Linked DNA regions of Alligator mississippiensis. The protein of the gene in region 3 interacts with the protein of the main gene of each other region in a biochemical or structural test. Links are inferred from orthologs where the notes say so. Each region holds a gene or a part of one and is shown on either strand. Other genes may lie near its edges.

What was found.
Region 1: the proteins of FGFR1 (region 3) and FGF6 interact in a biophysical measurement, tested with the Homo sapiens proteins (2 studies listed by BioGRID and IntAct, with this or other methods). The link is inferred for Alligator mississippiensis from reciprocal best matches to the Homo sapiens genes FGFR1 and FGF6.
Region 2: the proteins of FGFR1 (region 3) and NCAM1 form a complex in vitro, tested with the Homo sapiens proteins (2 studies listed by BioGRID and IntAct). The link is inferred for Alligator mississippiensis from reciprocal best matches to the Homo sapiens genes FGFR1 and NCAM1.

What each region holds. Positions count from the first base shown.
Region 1 is NC_081827.1:142,599,389-142,603,137, forward strand, and holds the start of FGF6 (fibroblast growth factor 6), read right to left. Parts: upstream 2,204-3,749; coding exon 1,864-2,203; intron 928-1,863; coding exon 824-927; intron 1-823. UniProt on the Homo sapiens protein: Plays an important role in the regulation of cell proliferation, cell differentiation, angiogenesis and myogenesis, and is required for normal muscle regeneration.
Region 2 is NC_081839.1:32,353,165-32,356,913, reverse strand, and holds the start of NCAM1 (neural cell adhesion molecule 1), read right to left. Parts: upstream 2,502-3,749; 5' UTR 2,160-2,501; coding exon 2,108-2,159; intron 1-2,107.
Region 3 is NC_081830.1:18,134,935-18,138,683, reverse strand, and holds the start of FGFR1 (fibroblast growth factor receptor 1), read right to left. Parts: upstream 2,242-3,749; 5' UTR 2,062-2,241; intron 1-2,061. UniProt on the Homo sapiens protein: Tyrosine-protein kinase that acts as a cell-surface receptor for fibroblast growth factors and plays an essential role in the regulation of embryonic development, cell proliferation, differentiation and migration.

The DNA.
Region 1 (3,749 bases), on a different chromosome or scaffold from region 3:
TGGAAATGACTTTGTAGTTTTTGAGAAAAAAAGGAAACAGCAGCAAACTCCAGACATTATGTGAGGTAGACTTCTTGCTTCTTGCAGGGCTGATCCCTTTCAACTGGAATATTCTGCAGGTGCTGCTTCTGCTGGTTGTTGAAATTATGGAAGCATTGCTAGGGATTTTAAAGTTGAATTTGCATTTGGTGATTACTGGCAAATACCTTTTGTCCAATGATGATGGTGTTTGTGGTTACTAGGATAATTTTATTAGTGATGAGATTTTTTTTCCCTCTACATTTTATCCTACCAAACTAGCCTCTGGAAGATCTCCCACATGCATATGGCTCTCAGGCCATTTCAAGGGGACAAATTAATTTGTTGGGGCATACACATTTTCCCTAAGTGGATGAATTTAGAGGTGACTTCCCTAGAAGAATTTCATGGAGTGTTTTTATTACTGACCAGACCTCCTGGCTCCGATGTTTATTTCCATATAGACAGTGTGTCCCCTCTTTCCATTCAGAGTGGAAAAAAACTCAGAAGATTTGGCAGGACCAAGCCTACATGCAGACAGCCATTCAAAGGTGATCAATGCCACCTTTTAACCAGTTCATGTTTCTTAAGTGCTCCTTAGAATGCCTTATGATAACAGCACACTGACAGCAATGCCAATTACCACAATGAACATTGTTGATGATGGTAAGTTAGGCTTGCTATAGTTGCACTGCCAGGGGATTTTTTGTGATGGAAAATAAAATTCCCAAGTTTTCTTAGTAACCATATTCTGGTCAATTATTAAGCGTCAAAAAAAGAAAAAGAAATTTGAACTTGTACTCACCGTTCCATATAACCTCCCTTTGTTGTTCATTGCAATGAAGAGGGCACTTTTCACACCAAACAGGCTAACAACACCTCTCTCTACGGTTGATATTTCTAAAAGACCTGAACAGACAGATAAAAGTTTAATTGTATGTATTTTACAGATAGCCAAAAGAAATTAACCAGAGATGCGCTATTAAGTTATAACTATTAACATCCATATGAGAATGTCGTGTAGGATTTAATTGAAAATTATATCCATAATAAGTATATGCATATATATATAGATATATATATATGGAGAGAGAGAGAGAAAGAGAGTTATATCTATATATACGCATACACATACATGCACACACACACACAAACAGACTCTCAGTCCATCTTACATTCTATAGGGTTTTATAATAATGTCTTTGGACCCTTATTCATTTTCTGTAGAATTTCACCGGTTTCATTCTTGCTAAATTTTCCAAGACTTTCTTATATAAGAATAATCCCTATTTAAAATGCCATAACCAAGAGTGACATCCTTGCCAAAAGAAATGTGGTTTATATAATGAAATTCACCTTAATCAGCTACTTGTAAATGGCACTTTTCAACAAATCCAAATGAACAGTAAAAATTATTTATTTGATAGTAACAGCTGTGCACTTTCAATTCCTTAGCACCTCCAATGTGCAAGAAAATCACCAGGCAAAAATCAAGGTAATATCTGTGAGTGCATGAAAGCCTCCAGGTTCAAATGTCAGGGGAAAATGCACAAGAGTAGGGAAAAATGCATCAGAAATAAAGTTTGCAAATGGATTTAACTTTTCTAGTCTGGGAAGGAAAGCAGAGTAAAAATAAATTGGTATCTAATTTTGTCCATGCATTCATTACATGTTTTAGCCTGGAGGTTTCTAGTGCTGATTTATCCTAAAGACTTTTAAAAGGCAACAGATGTAGCTTAGATTGAGAATATCAAGCAATAACATTTGCATTCTGCAAAGGGTAATTACTCGAGTTCACTGCAATTAAGTGACATCTATGCTATTTCATTTTTGGATGCAACTCACTGTATTGGCTTTCATCATGAACTCCGCTTATCCTTCCGTCAGGAAGGATTTGAAGGTGAAACCCGATGCCCACGTTGCAGTAAAGCCTCCGCTGCCTCTTGATTCCTAGCAAATAGTCACTCTCCCAGTTCACCTCGGATCTCTCCCCTGACATCCCAGCAATGGACCTGGACAACAGAGACTCCCATCCTCTCTCCAGCAAGGTGCCGTTAGTTCTGCTGACAACTGGATATGATGAAACAATCCCAGAGAGAAAACCCAGAAGAACAAAAGCAGGCAACGTCCAGTGAACGCTGGCTTCGCAGGACATAGTGATGAGGAGTCTTTGTGCTATGGCCATCCGGTTCACCTCCTGGGCACGTGGTCAGAATTAATGGCCCTAAAAATACCTCCCTTCTTGTTTTTCTCCCTTCAGCATGGTGGCAGATGCTTATTTTTGGAAGGCAGATAGGGATTGCTGACATGAAATGAAAGCCTGGGAGCAGTTGGGTTGGAAGCAGAGACAGGCCAGCAGAGCCCAAACTGGTGGAGACCATGTTTTGTAGCTCCTGCTCTCCAGTGGGGCAGCCTGGATATATTTGATTGACCTATCTTTATAGTTCAGGGTCTGTCCCACCCTACGGCATCACTCTGACATCAACAGCTTGCCAAAGGTACACTTGCCGCAGCTGTAACACTAACCTGCTCGCTACTGTCATCCAAGACAGGAGGCCGGAATGAGGTTTCATTGGGCAGTCAGTAGGCCGTATTGAATGCTAAAGGGACAGATCAGTTGGATGGTCAGATATCTCACAGATGGCTTCCTTATTTAGAGAAGAAGGTGTAAAAACAGTCATGGACCTCACCAGAGAGTAATGAAAACTTTGCCAGCCGCTTCCTCGGCAGTGTGTTCACTGAGTTTACATTAGGATCACTTGCACAGAGCAAGGCAGCGTTAGGGGAGAATGAATCTTTACACAGCAGGGTTTGTACTTCTTTTCTTCAAGTAGCTAACAAATCCACGGCACCTCTTACTGAGGTAACTAAGTGCAAATAGCAGGCCTGCACCTTCAGGAAGACAGTTTTCATTTTGGCGGCGGTGTTCTTGGCTAGCCTCAAGATTGCTGAGCCATGGCCTATAGCAATAAATGCTGTAGATAGAGAGTTGATGGAAGGTCTCATCCTACAGTTTTTGCTCAGGCAACAATCTCACTAGCTACACGGGGAGTTTTTACTGAGTCAGGAGTGTAGAAGTGGGAATCTGACTTTGCAGCTGACCACTCACTGCACTAATCCATACACATGTCAGTAGCCATGTTGTCCCCTTTGGGACTGCTTGGACAAATAAGGTCTACTCAGAAAAACAAGGATTACTGAAGCAAGTGAAGATCAGAGTATGGGACCTTGGGTCTTTAGGGCTTTGATGCTTCAAATGCTTAAGCAGGTGCCTAGGTTTTATTCATGTGCATACTCAAATATCTGCTAGATTGGACATTTGGTAGCATATTGAAGAGAGAGAAGAAAAAAGACAGCCACTTCCCCTCCTTTTGTACCAGTGTCAGTTTTCAAAAAATTGATTTAAAACCCAGGCATAGCCTTCCTGTAGCCAATTGTGATAATCTCTCTCTCTCTGTTTTCCTTTAGTGATAGCCAATTTTCGAGAGTATCTCACTTCCTCAGGAGGTTTTGCTTTCATTTTTACCCATTATCCTTTGCTGTTGTTTTAGGTTCTCCTTGACTTGAGAGGTGAGACTACTGTCTTCTTTTGTTTAAATGGCTAATTAGGAGGTCTGATCAAAATCAACCGGGAGGCAGGAGGAAATCAAATTGTGCAAGACTTTTCACAACCCTTAAATTTGCATTTCCCATGTATTTTTCCTCGTGGCTGAAATATATTCTCAGTACTG
Region 2 (3,749 bases), on a different chromosome or scaffold from region 3:
AAATTAAAGCAGGATCCCTTAAGACTGAAGGCACCAGAGGTGGGCTGGGTGTTGCTTGTATTATATATTGTGTTGTTGCTTTGTTTGGGCTTTTTAATATTTTGGGGGGGGTTTTTTCCGTTCTCCATACAAGGCTGACTTAACGGTCAGATTCGATCCTTGCCGCTCCTTAAGCACTCCGGCATTTGTTAATGTTATTACTGGAAAAATAACCTTTTGAGTGGGGCAGCAGGTGATATGTGCATGTATATATATTTCCCTTTTATAAAGCATTGCTTACCTCAGTCTATGTGTTGGAAAACCCACTTTCTTCCTCCTCCACATATTGAGAATACCTTGCATGAATGTGCCTGTGTGTGCAATGGCTGGGGAAAGGTAGGTGTCTAGCTTTGCATGCATGCATGTGTGACGTGGTGGCTGGGGAAAGCGAGGTGTCTAGCTGGATAAAGGGGGAGAAGAAGAAGGTACCTGGTGATAGCGAGCAGAGGGTGCGGCGGGGGAGCATGGTAGTGTTAAGCCTTGAGCATCCAGCGAGGAGTCAACACTCTCCCTATTGGGATTTTAATCTAATGGGGAATAATGCACATTAAAAAACCCACTCAAACAGCAGCTTTAGAGCAATGCCTAGGTTAGGAGGAAGCTGTATAGTAACATGGGATGGGGTTGTAGCTGGGGTGCGTTTCAGGCGTGTCAGGAGCAGAAGCAGGACAAGGCAGTGACTGTGGGTGCCTGTTGGCAGCTCCGATTAGGGACGGTAGTAATTATGCAATCCCTGAAATGACGGTGGTTGGTCCTGAACATGGGTGGAGCAGCGGTAGCCATGATTGCCCAGACACAGGCAAGAACCGTCAGCCGGTGATGAGACCCTGGGGAGTGGGAACAGCTGCGACCAAGGTGGGGTGGGGTCGTTTTGGGCAGGAGCACAGGTGTGTTGCAAAGGCAGGGCTGTGCCATGGCAGCTGGAGATTCCTGCTGAGGATTTGGGGGAGGGCTGCCGTGGACCAGACATAGGATCCCGATGGCAAGTTGGGGGGCAAACATACGGGGGCAGGTTGATGGGAGCAGCTGCAAGCTGGAGTGCATGGGGCTTGGACAAGCCACTTTCCAGCTGCTGTGGAGGGCGGCAGGGCCCTTGTGCATGGCTGACTGGGCGAGGTGGCACCCCAGCTCCAGGGGAGCCGCATGATGCCAGGGGGCAGACACACACGGGTGGGCGCCCAGCTCCAGGGGAGCCGCACCTTGTTGGGGGGCAGACACACACGGATGGGCACCTATCTCCAGGGGAGCCCCACAATGAGGTCACTTGACCCTGGTGCTCTTTCCTGCCCAGGGCAGGGGGTTGGACAGGTCCCTTCTGACCCTAGAAATCTCTGCAATCTACCACGCCAGGGGGTGTGCACGGGGCAGGGGCACAGAGGGGAATGCATGGGGCAGCCTGGCCACAATACGAGCCCCCCTCAGGTGAAGCTGGCATGCGAGGGGAGGTACTGAGGCGAGTGGGGGTCAGCCTCAGGGGGCGGAGCCTCGGCGAACGTTGGGGCCCGAGCCCTAACGGCGTTTCCCGCTCGGGGCCGGCGGGCTTTGATTGGCTGCGCCGCGTTCCATTCCTTCCCCCCTCCACCCCACCCACACACACACACACACACGCACAGAGCGATTCCCCTATCGCGCGGCATCTCCGCACCTTTTGCAGGCGAAGAGGAAGAGCATCCTCCTCTTTCTCAGCCCCTCACGCTGTATCTCCACTGTGGGCATTCCCCCCCCCCAGAAAAAGTCTCCATTGTTTGCTGTGTGCTCAGCTGCAGGCAGCCCCTTTTCACACACACCCCCCCCCCCCAAAAAAAAGAAAAGAAAAATGCCCCCTGCCTCAGCAATGCAGCAATGAAGGAGGGAGCGCTCCAGCCCCTGCCATGCCCTGGGGGGGCATAAATCTGTGCAAGCTCTGGGCTTCTAGGAAACACACACACACACAAAAGCAAAGCCCACTGCCTCCCTGCTCGCGCACAGCAGCCTCCAGCTGCACCAGCAGCCCCTCAGACATGCAATGCCCCCCCTCTTCATTAGCAACCCCCATGCATCTCCCCCCACATAACACAGATGCACGTACCTGCAGTCCCGAGGAAAAATAAAGCCCAGATGAGATCCTTAGTTTGCAGCATTGCAATCTGCTGATGGAGAAGTTGCTTGCAAAAATATATATAGATAGGTTTCCTTCAAGAGGAGCTGGTGCAGATGGGCATTCAGATGCAATGCAAATTTTTTATTTTTTTTTTAAGGATTATTATTGTTGTTGTTGTTGTTTTGTTCAAATTGGGTTCGGGGTATTTTTTTATTGGATTTTGCCAGCTGCTCTCGAGCTGCTTGCAGGAGCTGATCAGAGAATGAGTGACAGTCCCAGCCTCAGCACACACGCACAACAGAGATCCCTGCGCCGTCCTGGATTTGCTTTGGTGGGGTTGGAAGGGAGAAGGGGGTGGCACCTCACTGTGTTCTTCCACCCATGCTGGCCACAAATAGTACAGTGCAATAAGCATCAAGGAGGTACTGTAGAGAGACACGGGAGAAACGGTTGCAGCCGCCTGCAAAAGATGGTCTGGATCTGCACCGGGACTCACTCGCATCTACAGCAGGGGGTTGCTGCTTGGCTTGGCTTGGCTTGGCTTGGCTTTGCCAGGGAGCTCCCGGAGTGACATACAAAAAACTTGTCTCGGACCAACACGGCTAGCAAGTCTGCCCCTCTCCAGAAGGATGCATGCACATTAATTTTAGTCGGGCTAATCAAAGAGATCACATCCACCCAAAGAACCTCGCCTGATATATCCGTGCCATTACAATCTTTGCAATTCCCTATGCCTGATGAGATGTGCCTGTGTTGCAAGCTTGCAAATAAAGACAATTTTCTTGCAGATATCTAATTAAAAAAGATTGCATCCACCCAAAGAACCTTGCCTGCCACATGCACATAGTCATGTCATTTAAAATGACGAGTGTCATGCTGGGCATGGATATGAATTTTGATTTCTGCAACTTTTAATAAGCTTTGCAATCTTCCATGCCTGATGAAGGTGCCTGGGCGGAAAGCTGAATTATTTTTGCAAATATCTAGTTGGTCTAGTAAAAGGGATCACATCCACCCAAAGAACCTTGCCTGCCACATGCACATATTCATGTCATTTAAAATGACGAGTGTCATGCTGGGCATGAATATGAATTTTGATTTCTACTTAGTCTCCTATGCCTGATGAAGTGTGCCTGTGTTGAAAGCGTGCAAATAAAGATTTCTTTTGCAAATATCTAATTGGTCTATTAAAAGAAATTGCATCCACACAAAGAACCTTGCCTGCCACAAGCACATATAAGGCATGGCATTAAAAATGACAAGTGCCATGCTGGGCATGAATATGAATTTTTATTTCTGCAATTTCTACAGTCTTTGCAATCTCCTATGCCTGATGAAACATGCCTGTCTCAAAAGCTTGCAAACATATATATACATTTTTTTGCAAATATCTAGTTGGTCTAATAAAAAAATCTCACCTCTGCCACGAGTTTTGATTCCTTTTGCCTCCAGTGGTTCCCAAACTCTGACAGATTGCACACCACCGATTCAAAATGATACAACCTTAAGTACCACCAGCAAATTTTTGTTATATAAAGTAATTATAATAAATCTGTTAATGGGGACCACTGACAGGTTGTCTGCGTACCACCGGTGGTACCCGAACCACAGATTGGGAGCTGCTGCTGAG
Region 3 (3,749 bases):
ATAAAGTTGCCTGCCTGAGATCCTGGAAGCAGCTCGGGCTTCCCTTCCAGCCCGCGCGCCTCCCGGTAAAGTGGAATGGAAGTCACCAGGCAGCCAGCGTTCAATGCTGACAGATTTGTGGGTCCCGAGGAAAACGGCTGCTAGCCTGGAGCCGGAGGAGAGCCTTGCTGCTTCCTTGACCGTTCCAGGGCAGGGACTGTCTTGATTTATTTTAATCCTCTCCGAGCAAGACAATGGAAAGGCACCGGTGCGTGCCAGCCACCCCGGAGATTAAGAGGGGAAGTGCTTCTGTGTGGGGAAAAATGGCTGTCAGCCCCAGCAAAAAGCAAGGGCCCTCTCCACTGATCTCTCAAGACTTGGCAGGACCCCGTCTCCTGCACACAAGCACACACACACACACACCTCTGTTTGCACACTGCCTTGGTGGGAGCTGAGGGGAGCTGGAGCAGCGAGGTTTGTTCAAGTCTGAGAGCGAATTTGGCTTCCCCCATGTTGGGGACGCTGGGAAATGAAACCCTTCGCAGCATACACACTGTATCAGCCAAGGCGGGGGTAAAGCACGTCTTAAAGTTCAAACGTTCACCAAAAGGAAATGGTATGTTCAACCAGAACAGCTGCCCCTGCCCCCTGTCCATTCACAGCACATCAGTTAGTTATTCACCGCCTCCAAACACGGCACAGGAGCAATAACAGGCACCCTCAATCGCTAACAGCAGGAACTGAATAGGTTAAAAGCAACTACGTGACTCAAGGTTTGGTTGGAAGAGGTACAGTGGTTCCTCATCCCCACTGGGGTGGTTCACACAACGAACCAGCACAGGAGAATTGCAAATCTCGCCTCTGAAAATAGCAGCTGACTGATGCACTGGGTGGGTTAGATCCCTATACCACGTCCAGCCAAGGGAACGGCTTGCCAGCCCGGAGCGAGCATTCACCACTCCCGAACAAGAGGGATTCTCCAACGAAAACTGCAAACGGCTCTGAATAGGGAATGACAGACCCTCACCATCTGGCGGTGGGCCATTTGGGAAGGGAACAGTCCCAGTTGGTTGTAAAGAGAGAAGTCAAGAAGCGCAAGTCAGCTCCCTCTCCAAATCACACTGTTTTAAAGAGAGGTAAACATCAGGTTCCTATTTGCTGCTGATTTTTGAGCCTGTAGGGCTTGTGTTTGCTACCTCCCTCTGCCATGTAAGGGCCAGAAGTGTACTTTAAACAAACAAAATGAGGAGCCAGTATAATCCCAGGACTCCGAGCCCTGGGACTTGAAGAAAAACACCCTGGTTCTCTTAACACCTGTGACAAAATCCTGAGAAGGCCACTTGGCACCCAACAGTGATTTTCAGAACTGCCCAACACACCAGGCCCTTGCCGCAGAGGCGGCTGGGCTCGGTCTCCGCAGGCCAGGCCGGGAATCCGGTACCATCACAGCTACTCCGCGGTCGCACGCCGCGCTCAGAGTCCAAAGCTCACTTTGCACCGGTTCATCTTCACCAGCGCAAAAATCCTGCTGCTGGCACGCACTACGTCTCTTGCTGGGTCCAAGTGCCGGCAGGAAGGGCTCCCAGCAGTTTTGCTCTTTTGAGGATGCCATGCAGATGTGGCCCAGGTGGAGAGGGCAGGAGAACGGCCCCCAAACCCAGGCGCGTCCCCTCCCCGCCGCCTGACACCCGTGTTCCCGGAAAGGAACCAAGTGCCTCTGACAGCAGACAGATCCCCCCAAGCACCTCGCGCCCAGCCGGGTACCCGCAGGCCCCTTCACCAGCCCGCGGGGGAGCACCTCCGCACGGGCCCCAAGGCAGGGATCTGCTCACCCAAGAGCAGGAGCGAGCGAGGCCGGGTGTGGGGAACAAAGCGGGGCCGGGAGCGCGGCTCCCTCTGCCAGCCCGACCCGGGCCAAGCCGCCTCCGCGCGGCCGGGGAGCAGCACCTCGGACGGGGCCGGCCCGGAGCCCGCGGCCCCGATCCGGCGGCTCGGCGCACGTGGCCGCCCGCTCGCACTCGCACAAAGGCGCCGCGGGCTCCGAGTTGGCGCAAAGTTTCCCGCGGCGCCGCCGCTACTCACCGTGCGGGCCGGCCCTGTCCCGGCGCGATCCGGCCCCGGCAGGCAGGGCAGAGGCGCAGCCCCCCGGCCGCGCGGTCACAGCCCCGGCTCCATGCGGGGGGCGGTGCGGCCGGGCCGGGCCGGGCCGGGAGGTGCTGCGGGAGCTGGGCGATGCGCGGCCGCTGCCGGTGCCCGAGTCCCGGCGCTGCCTCCGCCGCCTCCCGCTCGCTCCTCCCGGCTCCGCCTTCCCGGCTCCGCGCCCCTCCCGGCCCGGCCCGGCCCGGCCCGCCCGGCCCCGCTCCCACCGCCGCCCCCGCGCCGCCAGCCCGCCCGGCTCGGCCTCGTGGGCCTTGTAGTCCCCGCACCGACCCGCTCGCACACCTGCGGGGGGACACACACGCACCCCTGCTCGTGGACACACACACACACACACACACACACACCCTGCGGGCACACCTGCTTGTGGGGACACAGACATGCACCTCCTGCTTGTGGACTTGTGGGCACCCCTGCTTTTGGGGATACACACACACACCCTGCTTGTGGGCATGCGGGCACCCCTGCTTGTGGACACACACACCCTGCTTGTGGACATGCAGGCACACCTACTTGTGGGGACACGCACCCCCTGCTTGTGGACACACGCACATCCCCCCCGCTTGTGGACATGTGGGCACCCCTGCTTTTGGACACACACATACACACATACCCTGCTTGTGGACATGTGGGCACCCCTGCTTGTGGGCACACACACACCCTGCTTGTGGACACACATACACACACCCTGCTTGTGGACATGCAGGCACACCTGCTTGTGGCAACCCTCCCCCCCCACCCCGGTGTGGACATGTGGGCACACCTGCTTGTGGGGACACGGACACGCACCCCCTGCTTGTGCACATGCGGGCACACCTGCTTGTGGGGACACACATATATCCCCTGCTTGTGGACACACACACACACACCCTGCTTGTGAACATGCAGGCACACCTGCTTGTGAACATGCGGGCACACACACACTGATAAAAATCACTGCTCAGCAGATGTGCAGCGTGCCGGAAGAGCAGGCCTGGTCAGCACCGCTGTCCCTGGATGGACTGCAGCTCTCACAGGTCTCCTACTCCTGGCTTTGGAGCGGGGCCGCTGCATCCTGAGGGCTTGGTGCAGAGCTGACTAGATCCTGGAGGTATGCACCGCTCCATCAGGGGCTTCTGGAGAAACACAGTGCAAAGAAACCCTCTGCTTGTGGGCAGCACCCTGCCTTCCACACGCTGCGTGCGGGGGAAACATGCTGCACATGCTGCTATGCCACGGCCCTCCCCCAACTCTGCTCAGCTTCAGCATCCTCAGGCTGCCGTCCCCCAGGCAGGGCAGGGTTGAGAGGGAGGGAGCTTCCCCCAGGCCGGGGGTGCCCGGGCTAGTGCTGACTGCACAGGGAGGTTCAGTTCTGACTCAGGAAAATGGGCAGCCAGGCAGGCCTGAGTGAGACTGAAGATAACTCCTGGCAGGCAGAGGAAGATGTGTACCAGGCAATGTGCAAATGATTACATGATAATATGGACCAGGACAGACAGAATTAGCCCTGTCAATCACCGTGACCAGATTTGAAGCAAGTACTGGGCATCCATCTCTAGAACCAGAGCAGTCCGTCCCCGGCTTGGGCAGCTGCTCAACTATGGATGCCCAAGCCTGTTATTGCATGGGCTTTT